Linked DNA regions of Nothobranchius furzeri. The protein of the gene in region 1 interacts with the protein of each later gene in a pairwise test. Links are inferred from orthologs where the notes say so. Each region holds a gene or a part of one and is shown in the gene's direction. Other genes may lie near its edges. The genes, in order: airim, stx11a, rnf41, trim54, rint1, tfip11 and kifc3.

Evidence for each region.
Region 2: the proteins of airim (region 1) and stx11a interact in binary tests that used the Homo sapiens proteins (3 or more experiments, as listed by UniProt). The two-hybrid records come from large-scale screens. The link is inferred for Nothobranchius furzeri from reciprocal best matches to the Homo sapiens genes AIRIM and STX11.
Region 3: the proteins of airim (region 1) and rnf41 interact in binary tests that used the Homo sapiens proteins (3 or more experiments, as listed by UniProt). The two-hybrid records come from large-scale screens. The link is inferred for Nothobranchius furzeri from reciprocal best matches to the Homo sapiens genes AIRIM and RNF41.
Region 4: the proteins of airim (region 1) and trim54 interact in binary tests that used the Homo sapiens proteins (3 or more experiments, as listed by UniProt). The two-hybrid records come from large-scale screens. The link is inferred for Nothobranchius furzeri from reciprocal best matches to the Homo sapiens genes AIRIM and TRIM54.
Region 5: the proteins of airim (region 1) and rint1 interact in binary tests that used the Homo sapiens proteins (3 or more experiments, as listed by UniProt). The two-hybrid records come from large-scale screens. The link is inferred for Nothobranchius furzeri from reciprocal best matches to the Homo sapiens genes AIRIM and RINT1.
Region 6: the proteins of airim (region 1) and tfip11 interact in binary tests that used the Homo sapiens proteins (3 or more experiments, as listed by UniProt). The two-hybrid records come from large-scale screens. The link is inferred for Nothobranchius furzeri from reciprocal best matches to the Homo sapiens genes AIRIM and TFIP11.
Region 7: the proteins of airim (region 1) and kifc3 interact in binary tests that used the Homo sapiens proteins (3 or more experiments, as listed by UniProt). The two-hybrid records come from large-scale screens. The link is inferred for Nothobranchius furzeri from reciprocal best matches to the Homo sapiens genes AIRIM and KIFC3.

What each region holds. Positions count from the first base shown.
Region 1 is NC_091759.1:26,720,645-26,723,801, forward strand, and holds airim (AFG2-interacting ribosome maturation factor), read left to right. Parts: upstream 1-1,310; 5' UTR 1,311-1,419; coding exon 1,420-1,676; intron 1,677-1,980; coding exon 1,981-2,154; intron 2,155-2,224; coding exon 2,225-2,343; intron 2,344-2,427; coding exon 2,428-2,468; 3' UTR 2,469-2,657; downstream 2,658-3,157. Other genes in the region: cdca8 (borealin), read right to left, coding at 1-17; cldn35 (claudin-4), read right to left, coding at 2,868-3,157. UniProt on the Homo sapiens protein: Part of the 55LCC heterohexameric ATPase complex which is chromatin-associated and promotes replisome proteostasis to maintain replication fork progression and genome stability.
Region 2 is NC_091758.1:20,330,308-20,334,336, forward strand, and holds stx11a (syntaxin-11a), read left to right. Parts: upstream 1-1,229; 5' UTR 1,230-1,364; intron 1,365-2,482; 5' UTR 2,483-2,487; coding exon 2,488-3,357; 3' UTR 3,358-3,734; downstream 3,735-4,029. UniProt on the Homo sapiens protein: SNARE that acts to regulate protein transport between late endosomes and the trans-Golgi network.
Region 3 is NC_091755.1:37,149,527-37,153,789, reverse strand, and holds the start of rnf41 (E3 ubiquitin-protein ligase NRDP1), read left to right. Parts: upstream 1-1,463; 5' UTR 1,464-1,588; intron 1,589-2,307; 5' UTR 2,308-2,403; intron 2,404-4,263. Other genes in the region: uncharacterized protein, read right to left, coding at 1-570. UniProt on the Homo sapiens protein: Acts as E3 ubiquitin-protein ligase and regulates the degradation of target proteins. Polyubiquitinates MYD88. Negatively regulates MYD88-dependent production of pro-inflammatory cytokines.
Region 4 is NC_091742.1:14,248,886-14,253,087, forward strand, and holds the start of trim54 (tripartite motif-containing protein 54), read left to right. Parts: upstream 1-1,402; 5' UTR 1,403-2,291; coding exon 2,292-2,609; intron 2,610-4,135; coding exon 4,136-4,202. UniProt on the Homo sapiens protein: May bind and stabilize microtubules during myotubes formation.
Region 5 is NC_091741.1:64,278,013-64,282,124, reverse strand, and holds the start of rint1 (RAD50-interacting protein 1), read left to right. Parts: upstream 1-1,312; 5' UTR 1,313-1,347; coding exon 1,348-1,557; intron 1,558-2,033; coding exon 2,034-2,159; intron 2,160-2,364; coding exon 2,365-2,480; intron 2,481-2,593; coding exon 2,594-2,767; intron 2,768-2,860; coding exon 2,861-2,998; intron 2,999-4,112. UniProt on the Homo sapiens protein: Involved in regulation of membrane traffic between the Golgi and the endoplasmic reticulum (ER); the function is proposed to depend on its association in the NRZ complex which is believed to play a role in SNARE assembly at the ER.
Region 6 is NC_091757.1:45,000,280-45,004,345, reverse strand, and holds the start of tfip11 (tuftelin-interacting protein 11), read left to right. Parts: upstream 1-1,266; 5' UTR 1,267-1,376; exon of another isoform or gene 1,377-1,394; intron 1,395-1,814; 5' UTR 1,815-1,816; coding exon 1,817-2,022; intron 2,023-2,111; coding exon 2,112-2,277; intron 2,278-2,367; coding exon 2,368-2,524; intron 2,525-2,632; coding exon 2,633-2,760; intron 2,761-2,876; coding exon 2,877-3,038; intron 3,039-3,197; coding exon 3,198-3,389; intron 3,390-3,528; coding exon 3,529-3,708; intron 3,709-3,818; coding exon 3,819-3,953; intron 3,954-4,039; coding exon 4,040-4,066. Other genes in the region: srrd (SRR1-like protein), read right to left, coding at 60-158, 246-427, 494-534, 765-976. UniProt on the Homo sapiens protein: Involved in pre-mRNA splicing, specifically in spliceosome disassembly during late-stage splicing events. Intron turnover seems to proceed through reactions in two lariat-intron associated complexes termed Intron Large (IL) and Intron Small (IS).
Region 7 is NC_091749.1:65,919,630-65,923,639, forward strand, and holds the start of kifc3 (kinesin-like protein KIFC3), read left to right. Parts: upstream 1-1,210; 5' UTR 1,211-1,345; coding exon 1,346-1,537; intron 1,538-4,010. UniProt on the Homo sapiens protein: Minus-end microtubule-dependent motor protein. Involved in apically targeted transport. Required for zonula adherens maintenance.

The sequences.
Region 1 (3,157 bases):
CTCTTCCGTGGAGCCATGTCAGCGCGGAGTGGAAGGATTTAGTCCAGAGAGTCTGAAACCGTTTCACAGAAGATAAGCTTTAGCTAAAAGAGCAGGCACGAGGACGTTATCCGCTGACTGCGCTAGCTAGTTATTTAGCATCAGGGCTTCGCGCGGATTTTTCTACCGACCATTTATTCACACATCTTATAAAATTGATAAAACATCACTTTAATCCGATTTATCAGCCTTAAATTAGAGAAAAGTCACCTGCGTTTCTTTTGCCGCTTACTTCTTCCTACTAGACGTTTTAAAATTCTGCGCTGGGACACGTCAGCCAATGAGGACGTACGTTTTTACTGCGTCACAACACTGAGGCGTTTACCAGCGCTTGGCAAACGTGCATTACTGCCATCACGTGGCTTGGGGTGTAGTAACAGTCACGTTATTAGGGTACTCGGTGACAACAGCCATATGTACATAAATGTTTATGTGTTGTATTTATGTTTATTATATAAACATAAATGTTTATATATACATATCTATGGCAACAGCTGTCTCTGTGGCTCGCGCTGCACGCAGAGCTCTGACGGAAACTTTGTTTCACCAACAAACGTTCCGTTCTTCCTCGTTGTGAGTTTCTATTGGATCAATATCTTTATGAATTGGTCCTTGATCGGGACTTAAAGAACAGCTAAATATGAATAGGTGTGTGTAGGTTTTGACTTACGTGTTATAAACAGGAAGATTGTTACTGAATGATTAATGTGTTCATTCTATCATTTTCTTTTACAAGAACAAAGTTTACTGAAGCTCATTCTTTCATTTCAGTAGTTTTATTCCGTTTGTAAAACTGAACATTGTTAAATGTAAAGGGTGGAAAATAAACGCTGTGGTCTTTAACGTGTTTAAGCGCCATTAAAACTGTGTTTATTATTTATTAACAGGGTGTACGTTATGTTCCGACACGCACTGCTGTCTTCATGGATAAATAAAAACATTCCTAACTACTGGATCTTTTCCATGCTACGTTCACTGACAACGTATAAAGTAGGAATTTCCTACACTTGTTACATAAAACATACTTTTGAACTGTAGCCGTAACTTTGCTGAATTCCGTGTTTGTCAAATGACGTAATCCTGTCTTTAGACTATATAAAACATTAAAATTGCATCATTTAGAATTACTGCCGACTACAAATGAATCACAGGACTAGAGTTTAGATCACCCTAACGACTGCACCCCCCACACGTGTTGTTTATATGGTCAACGGTGATGGAGTTGAAATGGAGCTCGAGTGAGAGCTCGGACTTCTGAGGTGCCCTGAACGCATCATAAGTCATTGTTTACATCCGGAGACCGGAAGCGGGCTCTAGACGTGAGCTGCCGCGTGGAGACGTGCGTGAAGTAGGAACGGGTTCGAGCAGGAGAACCGGAGCATGTCCGAGCCGCTGCAGGAGGCGCTGAGGAGGAGCTTCGTGAGTCTGGAGAAGCAGCGGGAGGTCTGGAGGAGCGTGTTGGAGGAGTGCAGCCCGCTCATGGAGGCTCTGGGGAACCTGGCGGAGCAGATGAGCGCGCTGACCCGCGTCCAGCTGCTCGACACGCCGCTCCGAGTCTTCCCGCAGCTGGAGGAGCTGCTGCGGGTCAAGCTGCTGCAGGCTGCGGACACGGTGCTCCAGAGGCTCGGTGAGAACATGTGAGTCAGAGCCCTCAGAACCACGCTGGCGGGAAATAAACGTACGTCAGCGTTAGTTATTGTCATCAATAATCGGAGCTTCGGGGTGATACTGACATCTAGTGGTCAGAAGTAGAACAACACCCGTTCCAGGGTTATGATGGAGCGCATGCGCGTTGGCTATCCATCTTAGCTGGACGTTATAACTATGATCCACTTACTTTTTAATTGTTTCTCCCATTTTATTCTCATCTTTTTAGTTATTTATTGTGAAGCAGCTCGTGACCCATCTTCTGACGGTCCATGTGTTGTGTTCCTCCTCCAGGTGCCGTCTGCAGTCCATCAGAGATTCCATCAGTAGCCAGGCCTCTGCTCTCCTGCAGCAGTACCAGCAGAGTTCTGTGGACCTGACGATGCTGACGGAGCGCTCGGCCACCGTCCCGTCTCTGGCCGACATGCTGCAGTGGATCCAGGACGCTGAGCGCTTCTACAGGCAGCAGTATCCTTCCTGTGGGCCTCCTGGCATTCCCGTTATCCTGCTGTTGTCGTTTCCCTGAACTCATCTTCAGATTCCTACAGAGGAAAGCTCTGCTGCAGACGCTGAGGCCGGACCAACTCCTTCTGCTGGAATCTGCTCCCAAAAGGTGGAAATCTCTGGAGTCTCCGAGTGCCGATCAACAGATCACAGGTGAGTCGTGACACGTGGACCAGAGCCCACCCCCATGTTCAGGTCTCCCAACGGTCCGATTTGCTGGATTTTGTCTCTTTTCAGATTCACTCTGCAGACTCTCTCTCTTCATCCAGCCTCAGTGAGCTAGCGAGGGTTCGCTGACCCGACCCGACCCGACCCGAGGACACAAGACGCTTCCAGCTCTTAATGTCAAACGCTTTTATTTGAAAACCAGAAGTTTGTGTGAAGATCTGGAGAGATTACAGCCTGCACCGCACACGCTAACAAGCTAGCACGCCAAATAGTTCAGTCTCTGTCACACACACACACACTCACACACACACACACACACACTCACACACACACACACACACACACACACACACACTCTCACACACACTCTCACACACACTCTCACACACACACACACACACACACACTCTCACACACACACACACACACACTCACACACTCACACACACAGTCCTGTGTGTAAATAAATAAATAAATAAAGGGTCACTCTGTTAGTGGTACCCCCCCCCCTAGACGTACTCCTTCAGAGGGACGTTGTTGGAGATGATGGGTTTCGGTGGTTCCGGTGCGGGCGAGTTGGCGAAACTCCGGCCGACGTAGCCGCGACGGTACCGGCCGCCCCGCTCCATCAGCGGACAGGTGCTGCTCAGCACGGCGCCGCTGATCATCAGGATGACGGCGGCGGCCCAGCCCAGGTAGATGGCCTGACCCAGCTCCCGCTTGTGCATGACGGGAACGTTGGGGTTGTAGAAGTCCTGGACCACCGTGTTGGCGGTCCAGGAGACCGGGATCAGAACAC
Region 2 (4,029 bases), on another chromosome or scaffold:
AGTATACAAACAAATTGCATACAAAATTGAACAAAGAAGATGAAACATATGCCAGGGGGTGCACTACAGAAATGTTACACACATCCAAATAAATTACAGGTGGTGCAAATAGTTATAGTTTTTAAAGCTTTTTTGTTTAGTGATCCACTAATCAATTTTATGCAAGATAGAGTGTCACTATAATAGTGCTTGAAATTAGGTTTTTGGTTACTATACTTGCATTTGTGGAGATAGAATTTAGCTAGATTAACAAATTTATAACAAAGTATACATCTTCCTTTCTCTGCTTGCGAAAAAAATACAGCATTTTCCCATTTTAAAACGAAGTCCTTGCAGAGCTGTCCGATAATAAATCTGCTAAAGTCTTTCCAAAACGTTGTAGCATGTGAACAGATCCAGAAGAGGTGGGATTTGTTGTTTTATTTGGTTGTGGAGAGTAAAGATTTTCTGTCCTCTGCTGGAAACAAGTGGGTACTGCAGCGTTCAATACAGCGTTTAGTCCAATTTACAGGAAAGCCAGAGCGTCTTCACTTATATAAACTACTAAAACGCAATAAATCAATTTTAGTTATCTGTGTTCAACTCGATTAAATCAAGGAGCTGCAGCAGGAGCTAAAAGCAGCTAGCCACAGCACAGCAAATAGAGCAGATCTACCGCCCTCTGGCGGCCACAGGGCGAAACTACACGGCAGAAGGGTTTGTTTTTTGGCAATGTAAAACAGTTACGAAATTTTACCAAACTAATCAAACATGTCAGATATAAAAATATTGGTTATGAGTTCAACAGAACAATAAGCACCCAATTGCATCTAATAAACACTCAAACATTGATACATAGATTTTTTAAGGTCCTTTTTTTGTTTCAAACAGGAAAAGCATTACGTCTTTGGATTTCACAATGAATGTATGAAATACTCAAATAAATAAAATAAAAACAAATACTAATAAAAAACGCATGCTAAAAAGCTACTGAAAATCTGAGTAAATCACAACAGCTGATTTAATTTGATGAATTTGTTTATTCAGAAAAATGATATATGCAATCAATTATAATTACGTAACGTCATTTTAACATTTCTAAATCACCCTTATTCACAATACATTTTAAGTAAAAGCTTTGAGTTCAGGAAGAACTTCCATTCGGACCCCTTTGATGGAAGTTCTTCCTGAACTCAAAGCAGGGTTTGATCTTCCGCGTAGTTGGTCTCGCGGCGTCAGGAGGCTGGTGACACTCACACCTCTTTACTCAGACTGTGGTTGATGTTGGTGAAATGTCTAAATGTAACCGAGACACAAAGAGGAAACGGGTCTTTCTTTTCTTCTGTTTCTAAGGAGAGTTCTCTTTAGGAGGGCACCGCCATAAGGTACGTTTACTTCTCTGGTTTTATCGCCTCAAGTAACCTGGCGTAGTTTACAAGACTCCTCTTAGTTTCTTCGTTTACCTCCTCCCATCAGATCACTAGATGCTTATTCGTTTCTGTTTTGTTCATAAATACTTGAAATAGTTTGAAGTAGCTACACAATGTGAGTAGCATGTGGAGGACAGATGAGACTAACTAGCAGCTGAAAGCGTCACAATCTGAGGAAGTAACAGAGCAGTTTCCTTTTGTAGACATTACCGCCTGAAATTATTTCTAAACCATCAGTTTATTTATTTATTTAATTATTCATTCATAACCAGAGAAGCGTCCACACCTATTTTATCTTATCGCAACTCAATCAAAACTAATTAAAGTGAGAGCAGTAGCAGCTTTATGACGAGATAAGTATAATAAGAGTTGAATGGTTTTTAATTAGGTGTGTTTATATGGTTGATCATCATTTCTGTAACCAGGAAGAATTTGGTCGAGTCCAAAATGCATAAAGATAAAAATGAGACATTTTTGAATGATTGCCCCACTTTTATTGTTTCCAAAAATAAAATGGTCCATATTACGTCACAGCCAGTGAGTAACAGCAGCAAAAAGCTGATTCTAAATGTGTCATAGCAGCTTATAAGAGTTTAATTAGGATCTGTGTTTTCTAGGAGGGCTCTGGTCCAGCTTGTTGTCCGAAGGCCACCTCTGGTTTAATGCACCAAATAAGACTAAATGTTACCACATTTCTCGGATCACTTTGAAGATCTTACATAATTTCGAGGAAGCTTAAAAGCCCGTCTCGTGTTGATAATCATGGCCACATGATGATCAGCACTGTTCCTCTTTTCTGCAGCGTTATTATTTCCTGACAACCTGAGGAACCTCCTAAGATGCTGCTTAAAAGAGTGTTGTGTCAGATATCTGGAGTCAGTCTGAAAGCAGATCTTGTTTTTATTGTACTCTATTACTCTCCTCGTCTCTTAAGTTACTCAGAAGACAAAACTGCAAACTGGGCCTCAAAGATCTTTGTCTTTTGGAGATATGTCCAGCTTCCGCTCATCTCAGAGCGACGGAACATTTCATATATTTTAGAAAATAACAGATCGAACTGACTCTTGCTGCAGGTGAAATGAAGGACCGACTATCTGAGCTGAAAACCGTCACCCCGGAGCCTGCTGAGGAGGAGCTTAACACAGTCTTTGAGGATGAGGAGGTCGCAGAGTCACTGGCCATCGTGTTTCAAGGTGAAGATGTGATGGACGGCATCTACAAAGATGCCCAGATGATGAGGAAGGAGCTGCAGCTGCTGAAAATTGACGTGAAGCGTCTGGCGAAGCAGAACACGCGGTTCCTCACGTCCGTCAGGAGGTTTAGCAGCATCAAGCGGGACTCTAACGCGCTCGGCCGGGACATCAAAGCCAGGGGGGAGGCCATCTACGCCCAGCTGGAGAAGCTTGGAAAGCTGAGCAAAAAGCTTGGAGAGGAACACGGCTTCACGTCGGCTCTGTCTCGTATGGTGCGCTCACAGTACACTTCTCTGACTCGGGCCTTCCACGAGGCCATGTCTGAGTACAACGAGGCCGAAATGATCCAGAGGGAAAACTGTAAGACCCGCATTCAGAGGCAGGCGGAGATCATGGGCAAGGAGGTGACCAGGGAGCAGCTGGACGAGATGATCGAGAGCGGGAAGTGGAACGTCTTCTCGGATAATCTCCTTTTGGAGGGGAGGACTACCAGATCTGCTCTGAGCGAGATAGAGAGCAGACACAAGGAGCTGCTGGAGCTGGAGGGTCGCATCAGAGACATCCACGAGCTCTTCTCCCAGATGGCTCAGCTGGTGGAGGAGCAGGGCTGCATGCTGGACAACATAGAAGCAAACGTCTGCTCTACTCAGGACTACGTTGCCAAGGCAACGGTTCAAATCACACAGGCTAAAGAATACAGTGAAAACAACCCATGCAAGAAACTCTTCTGCTGCTGCTTCCCGTGCTGTAAATGATTCTTGGTCAGATTTAAACTGGAACTCTTTATAATTTTCCTTTTACGGGGTCAGCGTCAGACATCTCACTTCATTTTCACGTACTGTGCTGGTCTGAGAAGGAGGAAGAGTCATTTCAAACCGCGCTGTTCACATACAAATGCATTCAGTTGTAATCGAGTTGTTGCATTTCCTGATCGTAACTGATTATTACTTTCTGCAGCACCCACATGACTCCACGTCTCATCAAAGATATGTCATTGCAGCTTTTTATGTCGGGTAATGCATGTTTCATTCAGTAAAACTTGATTTATTTCTAAATTACTGCTTTGGAATGAAACGGCGACCATTAAAATGGGAGAAAAAAAAACAAAAGCTGGAGCTGACGTTGCTGCAGCTGTTGGCCAACAAGTGTGTAGAAACACAAATATTAGTGGTTAGCTGGGAGATAAGCTGCGTTCGTGTTGAACAACAAGCCTCGTTTTGCTCCAGCTTTATGCCGGAGCTTTTGTTGCTTCATATGAGATTAGCTCCAGCGTCTGGAGTCTGATTGGTGTCATGTTACATCCACACAAGCTTTTCTCTCAGGCGTGTACCTGAATCAGTGTCAGTACAAACACTCAGAGCCAGAGCAGGGGACTTCCTGTTGGTACCAGAGTTCTTTGGTAATCTGGATTTTTTCTCAGATTAGGG
Region 3 (4,263 bases), on another chromosome or scaffold:
TTCTTCATAACTTCTCAGTTTACTTTTAAATTCTGAAAAAGTCATGTCATCATCACTTTGTGTCACATGGATTCTAAAAGGCGTAAATGAGTCAGGTAGACCTTTTAAAACCATTGCTATTAGCAGTCCATCGCTCAAAGTTTCACCTGCGGTTCTCAGCGCTGTAATGGCGGCCTCGGCTCTCAAAACATAATCCGTTACACTCTCGCCGCTCTTCTGCTGTAATGCAGTCAGTTCTGTATATAAGCTTATTATGCGGGGTTTTCCCTTCCCGGCATAGTGTTCTCTCAAGATAATTAGAGCTTTCCGCCCGTCGTCAGCTGCGTCTCTCATCACCAGTGAAAGGCTCTTATCATCCAGGAATTGTATAAGTTCGGCATATGCCTCTGCGTTCTTTGAATCATATTCCTCATCATCGTCATCGTCTTTCGGTTTTAATATAATGTCTTTCAAACCTTGTAGCCGGAGGTGTCCGAGAAACTTTGTTTCCCACAGTTCATATTTATCCTCGTCTCCGTCAAATACCAGTCTTGACCAGCGGGTACTGGCTTCCACTGTCTTCCGACTCATAGTGTCCGACACACGTCGTAGCTCTCACTCGACTCACCGGACTTGCTGTTGGTCGGTTCTGTGCTCCTCACACGCTAGCAGGATGCTTTCCCAGCTGTCCTGATTAGCTTGGTGCGCAGCGGAAGCGTGCTGGGCCCATAACCTGTTAGCAGAGTTTCGTTTACCCAGCGGTTGGTCCAAGACTCCAAAATGAATCTCCAGGATTAAAAAAAGGAGGAAATAAATCCATAAACAGAGCGTCTGTTTCACGGGCCTTCACTGGTGGTAGCACACACTGATTGCGGCCACTAAAACACCAATGCTCCCTTTTATTGGTCAATTTACGAGGTCAAAGTTTAACTTCCTCTACAGGTACTTTTCAGTATAAAAGCATACATGTATATACACACACACACATTCTTATTTACAAATTTACACAGATGCATAACATAACAGAGCATAACAGAGCACATTAGACTGATGCTTAACAATTATTTCACAAAATTGATCCATTTGAGGCTTTTTTATTGGATGAAATCATAATGGAGGAAATGTATTGTCTGAGCTCTTGAAAACAAACAAACTTTTCAACATGGCATTTAGCTTACATTATTATAATATTAATGTGTTTTTTTAATCTCAATGTCATTTCTGAGGAACCCAAATAACACATTTCTCCATTATAACTTGAAGTCCGGATTAATGTTTATACAATTATTTACCCAAAACTGATTAACAAACAGACAATTAAAAAAAGAATGTACAAAGAAACAGCAGTCCGTTATGAAAGTTTTAACCGGATAAGGACATTTTCGACAGTGTTAGTGATTAACATTGTTTCGGTAAGAGAGACATTTTTCATTATAAAATTCACTTTTGGGATTTCTGCAGTTTTGCGTGATGACGTTTCCCCTCGTGTCGATTGAGACGTAGACTTGTATGACGTAGCACCAAGACGTGATTAGCAAGGGGCTAGTGTTGGTACGACGTCTGAAAACAGCCTGAATTGTGAAAAGGATCTATTTTACTCAATGTCTGAGTAAGTATATCAGTCAGCTGTTATATCTTGAGCAGTGCAGCTGACTGTAAACAGCTATTGGTGTGTGAAGTTGTCTCTAACGGAGGTCAGTCTGGTTAGCTTATAGCTAATGTCCAAAGGAAACCAACGACAGCGTAGCCGCTAGCTGGGCTAGCTAACGTTACATATTCAGAAATCGTGACAGTCAAACTGTGCTGCTGTACTTTGTAAACCATTAAGATATTTTTCTCTTTGACGCATGTTTACGTTATTAAAAATCAAGTTTTTACGATTTAGTTTAAAGTGTTATTATATGCGTGAAGATAACATTGAGAAACCTCGATGCTCAGCTAAGTTTTGTGCTCCTTGCTCTGAAATATGATGGAAACATGTTGATCTCAAAGCTGTTTCTTTTCATTTTTTGGAATCATTCATTTGTTAACCAGGACAGTAGATAAATATGTTTATTGTAAAATCACGTTGAAAAGTCAGCCTGAGGATGTGAATATGTATGAAAATGGCTACGCTCAATTTAAAGTTCAAATTCTTTATCCTCCAAAAAAACTGTCGGTATGGTAAATTTTTTTAGAAAGTACTTAATCTCAGATTTCAGCTAGTTAAACTCATTTGAGTACATTGTGTATACGTGATATGGGATTTAATGTTCTTGCATATGTGGTTTACAATCATCAGACTAAAAGTTTTTTTTTAAATGCAATAATTTTTTCCTTTTTATTCAGGCAGGGTCTGTGTCTTTTTAGGCAGGCAGAGCATTTCTGCCAGATGTGAGGAATCGAGGAGCTGAATGGAAATATTTGAGGCAGTTTGTGTTTGAGGTAAACAAGATGTTCTAACCAGAACTGTAAATTATTATTTTGACAAAATGTCAATCATTTTTTGATAGTAATTATTCATAGATAGTGTAAAAAACCCTTCTCATCTTAGTTTTAGCCAGGTTTGTTTCACAGTACTGGTATTTAGTAGCGTAGCAAGTGTATAAATGTAAATGTAAAAAAACAACCACACACACATATATACAAACAGTGAGCTAAAGAATTAGTTACTGTACTATATTACATTATCTTTCTGAGCACTCCTTTTCTATGGCCGTCTCCAAGTTTAGGTCCTTCACCACCACCCTTACCCATGGTGTCCCACAAGGTTCTCTGCTCTTCCTCCTCTATCTGCTTCCTCTTCAGCACATCCTGAGCTCCTTCAAAGGAATATCCTACCATCTTTATGCAGATGACATCCAACTGTACATCTCCTTTAAGCCCCATGAGATGTCTAAGCTGCAGCTGTTACACACCTGCTTAGACTCTATCAAAACCTGGATGGCTGGGAGCTTTCTTCAGCTGAATGAAGATAAGACTGAGATCCTCATCTGTGCCCCAGACAAGCTGGTTCCCAAAGTCAGAGACTCTCTTGGTCAGCTTGCTTCCCACACCAAACCTTCTGTCAGGAATCTTGGCGTGACCTTTGACCCAGCTCTCACCCTGGATTCTCATGTCATTTCTCTTGTTTGCTCTTCCTTCTTCCATCTCAGGAACGTTGCTAAGCTGAGTCCCATTCTGTCCCGCTCTGAACTTGAGACAGTTCTCCACTCCTTCATCTCCTCATGCTTAGACTACTGTAACTCTCTTTTCACGTGTCTGAGCAGAACCTCCCTGAACCGTCTACAGGTGGTTCGGAATGCCTGTGCTCGGCTTCTGACCAAGTCCTCCAAACACACCCACATCACTCCGCTTCTCCTCCAGCTTCACTGGCTGCCAGTCAACTTCAGGGTTCATTTCAAGATCCTGGTTCTGGTCTATAGGGCCTTACATGGACAAGCACCATCTTACATTGGTGATCTTCTTAGTCCCTACACCCCCAGCAGGTCCCTGAGGTCCGGTGATCAAAGCCTACTGGTTGTGCAGCACCAGACTAAAGACCAAAGGTGACAGATCATTTGCTGCTGTGGCCCCCAGACTCTGGAACTCTCTCCCCCTGAGCCTGAGATCAGTGGACTCAGTGGTCTCCTTTAAAAAGCAGCTGAAGACTCACCTGTTCAAGCTGGCTTTTGTATGACCTTCTTCACCTCTCTCTTTTTGTTCTGCTCTCCCCACCTATTCCACCTTCCTCAGGATCCACTGATTTCCCTCTTTCCTGTTCACTCTCTCTCTTTCTTAACATTTTTTAATTACAATTGCCCATTTTTTTTGCTCATTTAAAATATATTTTTAACCATTTTCTAAATTCTTTTTTATATTTTTTCATTTTTTGTTTTTGTGAAGCGCCTCGTGATTTTTATCTTGAGAAGCGCTATCGAAATGATATTTTCTTCCTCTTCATAATAAACAACATGATGAAACATGTCACCTTCTTGTGTTGAAATCTGTGTAAAATACTTTCGGTTTGGGGGGGGGGGGTGAGATTAAATAATTCAGCATCTCAGAAGCCCTTTTACAATACACACCGCCTTAATCTTATAAAAAGGACACGATTGCACCACATTACCGCCACAGTCTGACCACTTATGAACAACCTAAGGCTCCCTGATGCTGCCACGGCATTGCGGCAAATTAATGGCATTGTTTTGTAAAAATGGCTAGAGTGATAATAGAAACATTTGCTCATCAGGTTGCAGTACAAGCATTGCCAAGTATCTCCATTTCTGCTTTCTGAAAGGCATCTGGGTCATCCATTACAATACG
Region 4 (4,202 bases), on another chromosome or scaffold:
GTTCAATTCAATTCAAGTTTATTTAGCGCCAAATCACGACAAGAGTCGTCTCAAGGCACTTCACACAGTAAACATTCCAAAACTACAGCAATCCTCATACTAAGCAAGCATTTAGTGACAGTGGAGAGGAAAACTCCCTTTTAACAGGAAGAAACCTCCAGAGGATCCTGGGTCAGTATAAGCAGCCATCCACCATGACTCACTGGGGATGGAGAAGACAGAGCACACACACACACACACACACACACACACACACACACACACACACACACACACACACACACACACACACACACACACACACACACACACACACACAGAGCAGTGTGCTAGCCGATGGCCTCCTCCATGAAATTATTATATAAAATGGTTTGTCAGTGAAGATTGTTATTTAACTTATATTTTTTCTGCCTTCTGTTCTGTATTTGAAGCCATACTATGTAACTTTTTCATATTTTTAAATAATTTTCTTGAGTCAGTATGTGCTAAAATGATCCATTACAGGGTTAATGAAATGCCGCTCAGACCTTCAACTTCGGACTGCTGGGCACCTGTTGGACTTGGGGGGAAAAATTGCTGACATACCTGGTGCTTCAGTCTGCTTCCAGCACATTTCCTGCATGTTTTAGATTATGAACACACCTGATTTGTTGATGTAGTGATGACTCACAACCATGGACATAATTTTCACTTTAGAAGTGGGGGGACACGGGGGGGGGGGGTCTTCACAGTATGTTCTAATGGGAAACAGGCTTCAACACAATGGTTGTTTTCTGCTTGGTCCTAGAGCTCAACCAGTGTCAACTTAATATAGCGTAATATTGTCTTTGGATGGTAAAAAGTGCAGGGGTCAAAACTTGACTTTGGAAAAAGTTGGGGGGGGGGGGGGGGGGGGCATGCGTTAAAGAAATAATAGGCTTGCTTTTCAGCACCCCCTATAGTCTGAAGCGAAACCAATCTCGCTGTGCATTCTTCTTTTTAACACTTTAATCTAACAGCCAAAATGTCTCCCAGAGTTCCTAAGTGTCTAGAGGAGTGAGTCATCACTAAACGAAACAAATCAGCTGTGTTCATGATCGAAAACATGCTGGAACCAGACAGCAGCGCCCGGTAGGTCAGCTCAATTTTTTCTAAGTCCCAACAGACCGGAACACGATGGTCTGACCACAGGGGGTGATGGGGGCATTAACCCTGTAAAGGGTTATTTTAGCATTGGCTCAAGAAAATAATTTAAAAGTATGAAAAAGTTTTAAAGTGTCCATTTAAAAAGAGGAATGCACAGCAAGAAGATAGGTTTGATTATTGATTTGACCAAAGATAATTAATACGTACACTAGGGGGTGCTAAAGGTAAGCAAAACTGCCAAGTGTGCCTTTGTGTGCAGTACTGGAGCTCCACAGGGTACGGCGCTCTCACCCTTTCTGTTCACCTTTTACACCTCAGATTTCACCTACAACACCAGCAGCTGTCTGAGTTTGGGATAGATCCAGACTCTCCATCTCCTCTGATCATTTCTTTGTTTCTCTCAGAGAAACAAACTAATTTCTCCTCCTGATGACATCAAATTAAATAAAAACAAACTTTAAATTGATCCTGTCAGCTGTTTCAGTCGAGGGAAGCGTCTCGTGTTTCTGTTTCAGCATCTCGTCCTGCTTTATTTTCATCCTCCTGAGTGACGCCATCAAACATTCTAGAGCTAATTTTAGCGTCTCCTAAGAGGAAAACAAAAGATAAAAATGAATTTACTGAGTCAGAGTTGTTTTAGGATGTCTGTGGCTCTGATCAGCTGGACGTTCTCAGAACAAAGATGATTAGATATGATGCCGTGTAGCATTACATCTCATAGATAATCTTGTTAATCACTGCAGGAATCTAAATGAACTCTTCGTGTTGTCATGACAACCATTCACAGAGAACTCAAGATTTTCTTTGAAACATAAAAAAATAAAATTATGAACAAAATAAAACTTCTGAGTCAGTTCAGGAGAAGAACTCAGGATTTAAACAAAAAAAACAACAAGATTTTACTATTTTCTCCCAAATCTGAGCAAACAGGAAGTGAGTTGTGGGCTGGTTTAACTGGGACCAGTCAGGAATCAGCTGTGGGGTTTAAGGAATCATCTGAAGTGTTAACAACCAGGAACGTCTGTCATCGTGTCTCCAGGATCTTCTCTGAGGTGTCGGACTTCATGGAAACATCAACAGAGAGTTCTGATAGTGGTGACCCTCCTGCCACACCCGGAGCTCCCAGAAACCCGATCCAGAACAAACACTAGAGCTAAAAATATCTGATGGGAGGGTCCGTAAATCCGAGCCAGACGGGCTTTCAGAGGGGGAAGAATAGAGTCACATCTACAATAAAAACCAAACATCTCACAAACGCCAGCAGAATCTTTACCTGTTCGCCATCTGAGGCAATGAGCTTTGCTTCTGGGTTCAAACCTCCAACACCTGGAAGTTCTGAGCCCGGTACCCGTAGCAAAACCACGATGGAGAACCTGGAGAAACAGCTGATCTGCCCCGTGTGCTTGGAGATGTTCTCTAAACCTGTGGTGATCCTGCCCTGCCAGCATAACCTGTGTCGTGGGTGTGCCAACGACGTCCTGCAGGTGAGCATGAAGATCAACAGGTAGACTCATCAGAACCCCTGATCCAGTTCTGGTGATCCTGTGGGACTTACCCTCAGTTTCATGTTCTTAGCTGACACCTGGTGTGGTCGTCTGCTGCTGGAGTCCACCTGGAGCAGCTGGTGTGGTCCTAAAGGAACCACTGCTGTCTTTCAATCATCAAGAACCAGTCTGACCAGCCTCTGTAGACCCTAGATGGTTGTGGGTTCAAATCCTGGTAGATCAGACCATCATGCCTGGTACTAACAACATTCCACCGTAAATCTCTATTCTGATGCTCAGTTTGAACTTCAGCAGCAAACACCTTCTCTGATAGATGATTGATTTAAAGGAGACAAATTATGCAAAACTCACCTTCTGCATTTGTTTTGCGCCGTCGTGAGTCTACGGACTCCATAAACAGTCCAGGCAGGAAGACCCCATCCATCCATGTTCTGTCCGTCGTTGGTTTCAGGAATTACGTGCCTAAAATCAAGAAGTCCCAGATTGTGATTTCAAAAATGGGCAAATAAGCATAGAAATACCTTCACATGTCGACTCTGGAGGAGCGGCAGCTCTACTCTGAGCCCCTGTTGGATATTTGAGCTCCTCACCTCATAGGGACCAATCAGGAAATTGGTGGGTGTGGCCAGCAATGTTTTCTCAAAGTGACAGAGCCCTGAAATGGCTCATTTTGGAAAGTACTGAAAATGATAAAACTGCTGAAATTGCTTTATGTGAGAGAGATTTAGTGCAAAGAACTTCATAAACATCTTCGGTATTGACATAGAGCAACTACATTTAGCTAGAGTTGCTTTGTAATGTATATTTTGGCAATACTGTTGCCATGGTAACTCAAATTGTCATTAAAAGTGATTTACCACTTCTTCCAACCGAGCCAGTCAGTGTGATGCACAGTGTGTGCAGGTGCATGCTTGTATTTGAGCTCCGTCAAGTTCGAGGTGCTTTTTATTGTGGCTGTTTGTTAAAAGCGTTGCCATGGTAACACTAATTCCAAGCTACAGGCCCTAAAAAGGCTCATTTTAGCAGATTCAGACAAAAGGGTGCCTTTCTGCATATTAACACATCATTGTAGCTTTGTTGTTTTATTTATCACCATAAACAGCCATAAAATCATAAACATAAAAAAATAACTCTTATTTGTTGTGGTGAAAAAGTCAGATCACTATTTGAAAAACACTTTTTTTTAAATCACCTTGAAAGCGTTTGAATTAGTCCTCCAATGCTGATATGAGTGAAGGTTCCTTTAATTGTTTTCATTTTATGATTTAAAGATAAATTATTTGTTATAATAAACATATATACATATATATATTTATTATTACATCGACATATGTCGATGTAATAAACTTAGAAAGCGTATAAGATGTTCCTGAGAATCATCGTTTTAAAAATGACTCCAGCTGACTAACCTCAACCCATTAAACAGCCTCCTGTTTATCATTAAGATAAATGATAAAATGTCTTTTAACAAAAATCCAAGAAAACCAGTTTTTGTCTTCAACCAGGCCACCAACCCTCTGTGGCAGCCTCGAGGCTCCTCCAGCAGCGGACGCTTCCGCTGTCCATCATGCC
Region 5 (4,112 bases), on another chromosome or scaffold:
ACATTCGACTGCAAACTACTCCAGCAAAAGCTCAAGATCACGACCCGATGAAGCCAACAGGACTACATCGTGCAAAAATCAGTGACCCTGATCCTTGGGCCACCAAAATGGATTCCCTCAACATCTTGGCTGTGTCTAGAAATCCTGTCCACAAAAGTTATGAACAGAATTGGTGACAAAGGGCAGCCTTGGTGGAGTCCAACTATCACCCAGAACGCTGTTACTGCCAGCAATGCAGACCAAGCTCTGGCACCGGTCATACAGGGACCGTACGGCCCGTATCAAGGGGGCTGGTACCTCATATTCTCATGGTAACCCCCACGGGACTCCCTGGAGGACACGGTTGAACACCTTCTCCAAGTCTACAAAACATATTGGGCTGGTCCAGTGTTCAACAGCCAGGACCAAAACCATATTGTTCCTTCTGAAACCAAAGTTCAACTATCTGACGGACCCTCCTCTCCAGAACCCCTGAATAGACTTTACCAGGGAGGCCCAGTAGTGTGATCCCCCTTTAGTTGGAACACACCCTGTGCTCCCTCTTTTTAAATAGAAAGAACCACCGACCTGGTCTGCCAATCCACGAGACTGCCCCCGATGTCCATGCTGCATGGTGGCACAGTTGTTAGCACTGTTGCCTCGCAGCATGAAGGTTGCAGGTTCGAAACTCAGCTGTGGCCTTTCTGCGTGGAGTTGCGTCTTCTCCCCATGCATGCGTGGGTTTCCTCCAGGTACTCCGGTTTCCTCAACAGATCCCAACATGCCCTATAGGTTATAAATTGTAAGTCGCTTTGGATAAAAGCGTCTCTTAAATGAATAAACATAAACATGTAATATCAAAGTCCCATTAGTTGTCACACTGGTGTGTGAAATTTGTTCTCTGCATTTGACACCCATCCCTGGGGGAGTGGTGAGCTGCAGACAAAGCTGTGCTCGGGAATCGTTTGGTGGTTTATCGCAGAGCCACTTCAACGCAACCCTATATCCAGGAACTCTGGGTGAATCTCATTCTTATCCATCGTGAGACATTGCCATTGAGCAGCTTTTGAATCGCCTTGGTGACCTCAGCGTCATTAATTTGAATTTTTATTATTTATGTACCTTTTCATTGTTGGTATTACTGTTTATGTTGTGTTGTCTGTTGTTTACTGCATTATAAGCAAATACTTTAATTCTGTAATGTTTTCACTGTAAATAAAGTTTGGTTAAAGAACCCGAAACATCTAGTGTTTTTAGACAAGAGGATAGGGGTCTGGTGTTGTTTTGGTACCTTCCCTTTCCCGACAGCAGGGGGCAGTGGTGAGTTGTTCCTCACTGTGCAGCGTGGCGGTGTTGTCAAAAATAAAGATGGCGACGGTACCAGCTGTAGAGTCTTTTCGGCATTCTGTCCGTGACATGGATCAGGATCCGGACTGTTTCGGTGATGGTTCTGGGACCCAGCTGGACTACGGACTGGGTTTTTTGGAGCAAGAGTTTGGCAGCGAACTGATGTCTTTAGAAGCCGTTAGTGAGCTGCTGGAGAAAATGAAAACAGAGACGGCGTTGGTGGAGGAGCAGGTACCGAACCTGAACTTTATTTACTACACGGTGTTTTTAAAGTTAACGAATTAGTGTGTAACAGCGAGCTGTTGTGGTTAAAGTCAGCTGTTTGGTGGCATTCTGGTGGATTAGGTGTGAACCTAAAGCACATTAAATAAGATTTAAACAAATGTTTTCACAATGAAGGAGATGAACTAAATAAAAACTGCTTCAGTGGATAAGACCTCACAGTTCATCATCTATATTTCACTTGATAGAGTTTTAAACATTAAAAGAACTGGAACTCTTGTGCATACATATACAATTTTAATCAAAGACCACTGTGCTGACAGGTCAGGGTTCATAGCCACTAACTCACGGGTTATTAATTTATTCTGCAACCTGAACTCAACCACATTAAATAAAAATGTGTTTTTTTGCAATCTGAAAGATTAGAACAATGTTTTGTCCTTTAGGTTCTGGCTGAATGGGATTGCATTGTTTTTGCTTTCCAGGTTCTGAGTGTGTGCAGTTCTGTTCCTCCCAAAATCTCAGCATCCCTGTCAGCTGCAGAGGAGGTCCGGTGTTCCTTGGAGGACGTGCTGCAGAGAGAACAATCTGTCTCCAGTCAGCTGCAGCAGGTAGAAACTGCAGAAGCTCAACAAAAGAGCAGATTTCAATCTGAAGTAGCAGAACGAACATCAGAGTTGTATTTGATCTATCCCATACAAGATCTGAAACACGATCTGAGCTGAATCATCTATGCTTGTTTAAGGTGTTCTGTGACAATCCCCACTGTAATCCAGGGATGTTTTACTGATGCTGTTAAATATTCTGATCTTCCAGCACCTGCAGGGCACCCGGCAGTTGATGGATGACCTAGGGCAGACATTTAACCATGTAGACTCTATGGAGAAAAGCATGAAGTATCTAAAGTGCCTTCACTACATAGGAGAGCTCAGGTAGGGTGATTAGAGGCTTGGAGACATGTTGGTTGAGGTTACAGTGATGCATCACTGAGGTTTAAAACTGCTCCTCATTTCTGCTGCATAATGTTAATATTATGTGTCTACAGTGCTTCAGTCCAGCAGTTTCTGATGACCAACGGTGTCTGGGAAGCTATAAAAGCTGTAGAGAGCATGGCGGCTCTGGACTCTGGCCTCAACCAGTCAGGATGTTCCCACCTTGTGGAGTTTCTCAGGAAAACGCTTTGTTTCTGGCACAATATCATCAAAGAACAGCTGTCCAGGTATGGCTCCATCAAATCCCAACCAAGACTGGGATGTTTTTGTCTTCTTTCATCTACTGTAAAAGCTGATTCTTTCTTTTTAAACCTCTTTAGTGATTTTGAAAACGCATTGACTCAACTACACTGGCCAATTGTCTCAACAACATCTCAGTCTGCGACACCTCCTGCAGGTCAGGAGGTCAGCAGCCATGTGGAGGAGCTGGTGACTCAGCTGCTGGCCCTGCAGACCTCGTATCCTTCTGGACACAGATCCAATAGGATCTTGGGGACTGTCTCCACACATTCATGTGCTCAGTTTTTTTAACCATGTAAATGTGTTTAGTTTCATCAGGTGAGATGTTTAGCATTATGTCAGGACACCATAATGATCTGACATTTGTCTTTGGTGGTGAGAGAGCAAGGCTTCTAACTCTACACAACCTTTAATCTGTAGTTTTGCATTTGCTCATGAGTTTTTATTTAGTTAGTATCTCACTGGGCTCTGTTAGCGAGACACTGGCATCACCATTCAGAGTGAGTTTTCAGAAGGTTATCCAAACATTCAAGTGTTCTTGGTTCCTTCTTGTGATTCTCAGGGCCTGACTCTGTGCCTAGAAATTTTTAAATGTTCAAAGAATTCTCAAGACAAATTCAGCCAACACAGCCGTTGTAATTAAGTACATAGCACTCATCTCAGACAGAAAATCACAACGTGCTTCACATGGATCAAAACAAATCATAAAGTCATAAAATCATAATGATCTTAAAACAGAAATGGATTAAAATCTGAAAAATAAAGTCTAAAATAATAAAACACCATAAAACAAATGAAAAATTATTACAAATTTGAGTTAAAAATAAGAAAATAAAAGATTTAGGTAAAAGCAGCTTTAAATAAAAGGGTCTTCAGCTGATTTTTAAAAGTGTCCAGACTGTCAATGCTGTGTAAGGATAAAGGAAGATCATTCCAGAGTCGGGGTGCAACAGTCTGGAACTTCTAGAAGGTTCTGGTGTGTGGACCTGAGGGCTCGGGTTTGAGCATAAGGCTTTAACAGTTCAGTAATATAGGGAGGAGCTTGACCATGTAGAGCATTGAAAGTTATAGTCAGTATACTAAAATGAACTCTAAAGTTAACGGGTAACCAGTGGAGAGACATTAGGGTTGTGAGCTCTTGTGTTTGCTCCAGTTAGAAGCCTCACTGCAGAGTTCTGGCCCAACTGAAGGCGGTCAAGGTTTTTCTTGTTAAAACATGTGAAAAGTGTGTTAAAGTAATCTAGTCGGGAGGAGATAAAGGCATGGATGACCATTACAAGTTCATGTTTTGACACCAACCTTCGCAGTTTGGAGATATTTCTTAAATGATAA
Region 6 (4,066 bases), on another chromosome or scaffold:
CTGAAAACAGTGTTTTACTGTTATTTATTTCAAAAATACTCAAGCTCTTGTCAACTGACCTCATTTTCTGTGAGTACAGTCAAACCCAGCTCTCTTAAGACATTCTTTTCAGCAAAGGAGAAGGCAGGATCATAAACATAGCAGTCCCGCAGTAAAATCTACATGGACAGGGGCAATAAAGCACATATTTTGCATCAGAGTTTCACAAGTATCATTTATAACACAGATGGAGTCGATCTTCTCACCTGTCTCGCATCCAGAAGAAGCAGCAACATGGCAAGTTGGTAGCGAGCGGCTACACATGAAGAAAAAGACCCAAGACCATAACAAACACACATCAGTGTTTCTTCTGGGGCTTTTTCCAGCTGATTTTCAGTGTCACTGTCCCCTGGAGGTTTTAGGGATGCTGCTGCTGCCTGGAAATTCTCTGAAGAGAAGATGATCCACTAAATAACTAAGCTTAACTCAACCTACATATCTACAACAAACTCACCATTCCAGTCTTTCCAAAAATCTTCGTACTTTAGTTCAAACCTAAGAAGGAAAGATATAAGCAAACCAATAACTTATGGGAAGATGTATGATTTCACCTATTATGCAAGATAAATATTGTTACTCATATATATATATATATATATATATATATATATATATATATATATATATATATGTATATATATATATATATATATATATATATATATATATATATATATATACATACATACATACATACATACATGTGTGTGTGCGTAACTTCTTACATGTTGTCTCTGATTCTTCTGATGAGTTTTCCAACATCCAGTTGCTCCTGATGGCATGATGGTGAGTTTAGAGGAACTTGATGAGATTTAAATTGCCTACATACACCTTTTCGACGCCGAGCTACCTGCCATTCATCGGATATGTACGACATTTGTGTGAATTGCCAGATGTAATTTACATAAGTACATACATTTCCAAACGTAAGTATCATAAAAACATGGAACTCAAAACCAAATTTAGCATTTTGAGAGCTGAAAGCTAAAAATGGAAACGCAGATGACCTATTCAAGTGCAACACATTGTTCTGTTTCCGGTGTGATTTCCGTCTAGTTAAAAGTCACGTAAATTCAACAGATTTGCTGTTGTTCGATTGTTTTTATTTTTAAAAAAAATATTGACCGCTTTATAAAAATGTATGTGTTGAATGGTTGGTTTTAATTAAGCTGCTTTTAAAATATTAATGAAATTATTTGTAGTGTACATTAATTGAAGTGACACGGCTAAACCGGAAGAACTTGCTTTTGACAAAAATATATCATTCGTCAACAGTTCGTGTCTCTGCAGTTCGTCTTATTACCACATAAGATATGTGTTTTTGATCTCAGACCAAGGTTGTAATTAATATTTTAGTAAGTTAACTTAAACGAAATCGTCGTTTTTTATCACTACTAACATGTTGTGTGTATTTACATTAATGCTACAGAACGTGCGTTATTGCTAGTAATTAGCCTTCGCTCCGTTTTCTTCTAAGCAGATTTGTATAGTTTTATAATCGATGTTTCACGTTTAGTCTTATTTGTGTATTCATCGTTATTGATTGTAAACCTTTTTGTCATTATTAATTTATCGTTAGTTAAACCACAAACGTTGACTTCATACCTGACTTAGTTATCGCATTTTATTTCCCTCTTCTTTGCCTTTAATAAACTAGATATGCATCTTTTTCCTGATTTTGAAGTCACAATGTTTCTTTCCTGGAAAATAAATGCACGTGTAATTTTAGGATTCGGTCACATTTCATTAAGATCTATATTGTTTATAACTTGCAGAGATGTCAATGTCCCACCTTTACGGGCGGAGGGAGGAGGAAGAGGAAGGTGTGGAGGTGGAGAGTTTTGAGATTACTGACTGGGATTTAGCCAATGAGTTCAACCCAGACCGTCGCAAATTCAGGCAGAGCAAGGAGCAGGCCACATATGGCATCTGGGCCGAGAAGGATTCTGATGAAGATGAAAGGCCCAGCTTTGGTGGCAAGAAGTATAAATGGCTTGCTTTTGACACAAATTCCAATTCTGAAACAATTTCTAACCAAATGTTCTAATAAAATATTTATGATTTCTTTTTAGATCCAAAGACTACACTGTACCTGTGAGCTTTGTGAGTGGTGGTTTGCGTAAGAGTGCTGCTGAAGAGAAAGAGCGGGAAAAAGAAGGCAGCTCTGACGACTCTGATGATGATACTTCTGCAAAACTCCCCCCTTCACGCGTGACTGCACCCAAAAAACTCCAGATGGTAATTTTTAAATGTGCGCACATTGTGATGTCCATTGTTTGTAGAAGAAAATAGTGAAAATAATGATGTTGGGAAAAAATGTTTTTCTAGGGTAATTTCTGTGGAAATCAGTCTAAGAGGTTTGCAGGTGGAATACAGTCTGGACAAGGAATTGGTAACTGGGAGAAACACACCAAAGGAATTGGACAGAAACTTCTGCAGAAGATGGGTTACCAGCCAGGGAAAGGCTTGGGGAAGAATGCTCAAGGTGTGTTTAGTTGACTTAGATTGTTCTTTTAAAAATGTTGTAAAATGTTTTGTTTTTTACATGGATGTGGTGGAATTGAAACACTTGTAATGTACTTTCTCTCTGTAGGTATCATAAACCCCATTGAGGCAAAGATCCGTAAGGGAAAAGGAGCGGTTGGTGCTTATGGCAATGAAAGAACCCAGCAGAGTCTTCAGGACTTTCCTGTAGTTGACTCAGAGGAAGAAGAGGAGAAGGTAAAGTACTGAGAAAAAAAATTGTCTTTACAATGTTGTTTTTATTTTTGTGTTTGATTTTATTGATCAAATGAGTCTATAGAGTCATTGTGGTAATTTTCTATATCTTTATATAGGAATTTCAGAAGGAACTTGGCCAGTGGCGTAAGGATCCAGCTGGGCCTGCAGGAAAAAAGAAGCCCAAGTACTCTTACAGAACAGCAGATGAGTTGAAGGCTAAAGGTAAAATAGTGAGTCGGAGCACATCTGCAACTGCAGGAGAGCTGGCACAGGTCAAGGTATGTTTATGTTTCACTTGTGTGCTGTTTGTTTTTTATGTTGGCATGGCTGCATAGGTGCAAAATTGAGGATTCAGTGTTTTATTAAGCATCAGTAATTTAAGTACATTTTGGCTACATTCATAGTACTTATTTATCCTGACATTTCCCTTGGTCTAGGTAATAGATATGACTGGAAGAGAGCAGAAGGTATACTACAGTTATAGTCAGATGTCTCACAAACACAGTGTTCCCGATGAAGCTCCACCAAGCTTGGCTTCACAGGATCAAAAGGTATCTGGCTTTGCTCTCCCCGAACTTGAGCATAATCTGCAGCTTCTGATAGACCTGACAGAACAAAACATATTACAGGTAAGAGGAAACCAAGAATTATTTACAACATATTTAGCTACAAGAATAGGATATTAATAAGTCAGCAACCTGAGAAAAATGTGAAGAACTTGTAATCTCTACTAAAGCGTTCTTTCTTTTTTTTGTGCATCTTTTGTAGTCTGCCAGACGTTTGCAGCATGAAAAAGACGTGGTTGTTTCTCTGAGCCATGAGTCAAAAGCTTTGCAGAGCAGACTGGAGTCAGAGCAAGAATCCATCCGAAGAATGGAAGCTGTCTTAGCATTAGTGGAGCGTTTTCCTTCTGAAGAGACGGCACCGGGAGAGGGCCCGACCCTACAGGTTTGTGTTACAAACACTGACTGGAGCCGGTCTGCAAGCTGTTCAAATTAAGGAGTTCCAGCTTTATATTTCATAATTGTGAAGCTGATTTGTAGTGCTTGTCTCTTCAGGAGTGTGCCCAGATCTTTGAGACATTACAAACCGATTATTATGAGGAATACAAGATGATGGGATTGGCAGATTTGGCTGTGGCTGTCATTCATCCATTGCTTAAAGAGAAACTCTCCTCCTGGGACCCTGTGAAGGTAGTCTTTTACAGTTAGAGGAAACCACATTTTTAGTAAATGATTAATATCCAAGCTAATTCTTGAACGCTTTCTGATCTTTTCAGGACAGTTCTTATTGTCTGGAGGATATC
Region 7 (4,010 bases), on another chromosome or scaffold:
ACTCCCCAGGAGACGGAGAAGTATGAGGGCAAAACATCTCCGCCCGTGCGTGCGTGTCTCTCCCTTTTGGAGCTGACGGAGAAGCATGAATCAGGCTTTAGCCGGAGGTCCACTTCTGTCGTCCTCTTTCAGTAAGATTTTTTAAATTGGGTTTTTTGTGGCTCACTACTTTTGGGACACGAAAAAAAACATTTGTGCTTGTCATGACTAGAGTGATTACAACAACCGTAGATGGAACAGAGTTTGGGGATTTTGACGCCGAGTCAACAGAGTAATGCATTTGGTGACGTGGACGCTACGCCATGTGAGACCCAGTAATGGAGGCAATAGAGACCCACTTGGTTGCAGCAGTCAGACACTTGAGCTGACAAAGCAGCGCATTAGGGAATGAAAACAATTTTATTTATTTTTTAAGGGTGCAATTTGGCCAATGATATTTATAGCTGTGGGTAGGGCTGGGCGATACGGCCTAAAATCAATATCACGATATATTGAGGAGTTCACCATAATGGCGATAAATGGACGTTAACTACAGGTATGTGTAGAAACAAAAGTTGTCCACTAGATGGGGCTGTCACATGTATTACGTTGAGTCACATTTTTACGAGACTCGAGGTGGACATGAATGTTGCCAACCTGCACACATCTTTTCATTTTTTTATTATCAGATTTATTGACATGGGGACAATGATCTCGATAAGAGTCAGAAATTTCGATGATGATACATTTTCAATTTATTGCCCAGCCCTAGCTGTGGGTGTGTTTCGCTCATTTTCTGCCCCTCACTTACCCTCTTGTGCATGTGAGACATTCTGATTAGCCGGCTTCCTGCAACAGCGTAATGCATTTTATTGTAATGTGTACTTAAAAGTGCGACTTCTCTTTTAAAAAGAACGCTTGAATTTTTCTGATGGCTGAAACCTTTGCAGAGTTATGGTAAATCAAGTATACGTGTAAAATATTTAGGCTTTTGTCCGCCTTGTTAAACAACAGTGGGGGAAACTGTTGAAGCCAAATTCAAAATGACTCGAAGGACTTGAAGCCTGAATGCACCTCTCCTGACATCATCACAGGCAACAGTCATTCCGAGCTTGAGGTAAAAATAAAGAATTAAAGTTTTAATGGAGGATTACCTGTGGATTAGACAACAATAACAGAGAGGAGGACAAGGTTCATGTGTTCTTATCAGTTCTGTGGAAGTACAGCGTTGGCAGGGTAGGGACGGGACCAGGACAGAGGTGAGACAGCTGAGGAATAAATGAGAAAGCGACAGGATTACGGGACACCTGTGTGCCTCACTCACCTGGATCCTGTCCCAGGCTGAGCTCACCTGTGGGACAGGAACATGTTGGTCCTCTCCATGCTGGTTTTGCTCACACTCTACAGCCTCCTCAGGAGGAGCAACAACCAACTCAAAGGTAGCTCAGAGCATGGAGGTGATGCTAATGGACCAGGACAAAGTGGCGTGAAGGCTGTGAGGAAGAGGAAGGGGGTCCGTGTACGATGTGTCTCCTCATCCAGCAGGAGGCCAGTTGAGGTGAGGAGGTCAAGGTCTGGAAATATTCTGAGATTTTAAACATTTCTGCAAATCAGGATAGAAAAGGGGGTGTTAGACAGAAAATGGTCTTTGTCCTCAGAACTTCCATGAACCCTTGTGCAGCCTTACTTCTCAGTCTGGCCAGTTTGAAGTGAGCTGGTCCCAGTTCACAGCTGAGTTCTCCACTTAGTGACGGTGGCTCAAGGGTTAGGAGTTCGCCCTGTAGCCGGTTCAAACCCCAACTGCGTTTCGATCGTAGTTGTGTCCTTTGGCCGGACACTTCACCATAAGTGTCCAAATTCAAGAGCTGCATCAATCATGCCTAATCGGTCTGCGTAGCCTTGTCTTTTTGTTGAGCAAGTTTGCGCATGTGTGAGTATATTTTTAGCTGTTTTAATTTTATTTTTTCTGGTTTCCAGAACAAGTGATCTAGGCAGCTGGTTCTGTGCTGGGTTCTGCACGAAGGGCCATTTTAGTCTGAATTTTTTGAAGCCAACAAGGAGTGGCAAAAATTGCAGTTCCACCCTCATCTGCTAGGGGCTGGCACCAGAGCAGAGCAAGTTCCCGTTGACTCCCATGTAAAAAATGCTAATTTCACAGCAGAAATAAACATGTTTACAGCCTGGTTCAAAAAACATTTTAGGTTTAATAGATATGGGCCAAAGGGGTCGGGTGCAGTGTGTGACGGGTGGTAGTCGAGGGCGGGGACCTTGTCGGTCTGATCCTCGGCTACAGAAGCTCTTTGGTGGGGAAGGAGCCTGAGTTGGTGTGTGAGGTTGAGAGGTTCCAACTAGATATAGTCGGACTCACCTCAGCGCATGGCTCTGGCTCTGGAACCATTTTCCTTGAGAGGGGTTGGACTTTCTACCACACTGGAGTTGCTCCCACTGAGAGGCGCAGAGCAGGGGTGGGCATACTAGTTGCCCCCCCATCTTGGTGCCTGTACATTGAGGTTTACCCCTGTGAATGAGAGGATAGCCTCCCTCCGCCTACGTGTGGGGGGACGGGTTCTGACTGTGGTCTGTGCTTATGAACCAATCTACAGTTCAGACTACCCACCCTTTTTGGAGACCTTGGAGGGGGTGCTGGAAAGCGCTCGCTCCGGTGACGCCCTCGTTTTGCTGGGGGACTTAAACGCTCATGTGGGCAACGACAGTGAGACCTGAAGAGGTGTGGTTGGGAGGAACGGCCCCCCGATCTGAATTTGAGTGGTGTTTTGTTATTGGACTTCTGTGCCAGTCATGGATTGTCCATAATGAACACCATGTTCAGACATAAAGGTGTCCATATGTGCTCTTGGCAACAGGATACCTTAGGCCGCAGCTCGATGATCGACTTTGTTGTTGTTTCATCTGACCTGCGGCCGCATGTCTTGGACACTCGGGTGAAGAGAGGGGTGGAGCTGTCAACTGACCACTACCTGGTAGTGAGTTGGCTCAGTTGGTGGGGGAGGATGCCGGTCAGAGCAGGCAGGTCCAAACGCATCACGAGGGTTTGCTGGGAACGTCTGGCAGAGTCTCCTGTCAGAAGGAGCTTCAATTCCCACCTCCGACAGAACTTCCAAAATGTTCCGGGGGAGGCGGGGGACATTGAGTCTGAATGGACTCTGTTCCATACCTCCATTGTTGAGGCGGCCGACCAGAGCTGTGGTCGCAGGATCGTCGGTGCCTGTCGTGGTGGAAACCCCCGAATCCGCTGGTGGACACTGGCGGTTAGGGATGATGTCAAGCTGAAGAAAGAGTCCTATCAGGTCTTTTTGGCCTGTGGGACTCCAGAGGCAGCTGACGGGTACCGGCAGTCCAAGCGGAACGCAGCTCGGGTGGTCGCCAAGGCAAAAACCCAGACATGGGAGGAGTTTGGTGAGATCATGGAGCAAGACTTCCATACGGCTTCGATGAGATTGTGGTCCACCATCCGGCGCCTTGGGGGGAGAAGCAGTGCGCTACCAACAATATCTATAGTGGGGACGGTGTGCTGCTGACCTCTACTCAGGCAACACATTCTCACATCCAAGGTGTCAAAATATGACGCGTGTGACCAAGCCTCAATATATGACGATTCAGGACGCCCCAGCGCGTCAGGAGACGACGATCAGGGAGAAACTGCTGACGCAGCGTCCCAGAGCTCGGTATCCAACGCTGGTGCTGAGACGGACATTAGAACTACTTGTGAACTACTTAACCTTCCCCTCACCCCAATCCTAACCTTAAGGTCACAGTTTATGGACCTTAAGGTTAGGGTTAGGATTGGGGTGAGGGGAAGGTTAAATAGTTGAATAATGTCCGTATGACCGCCCGCGTCAAACAGTGACGCCAGCAGAGCCACGTGTCCTAGCGTGTCCCTGATCATCGTCTCCTGACGCGCTAGGGCATCCCGAATCGTCATATATTGAGGCCTGATCACACGCGTCATATTTTGACGCCTTGGGTGTGAGAATGTGTTGACTCAGGACGTTGTGGATCAGTGGGCAGAA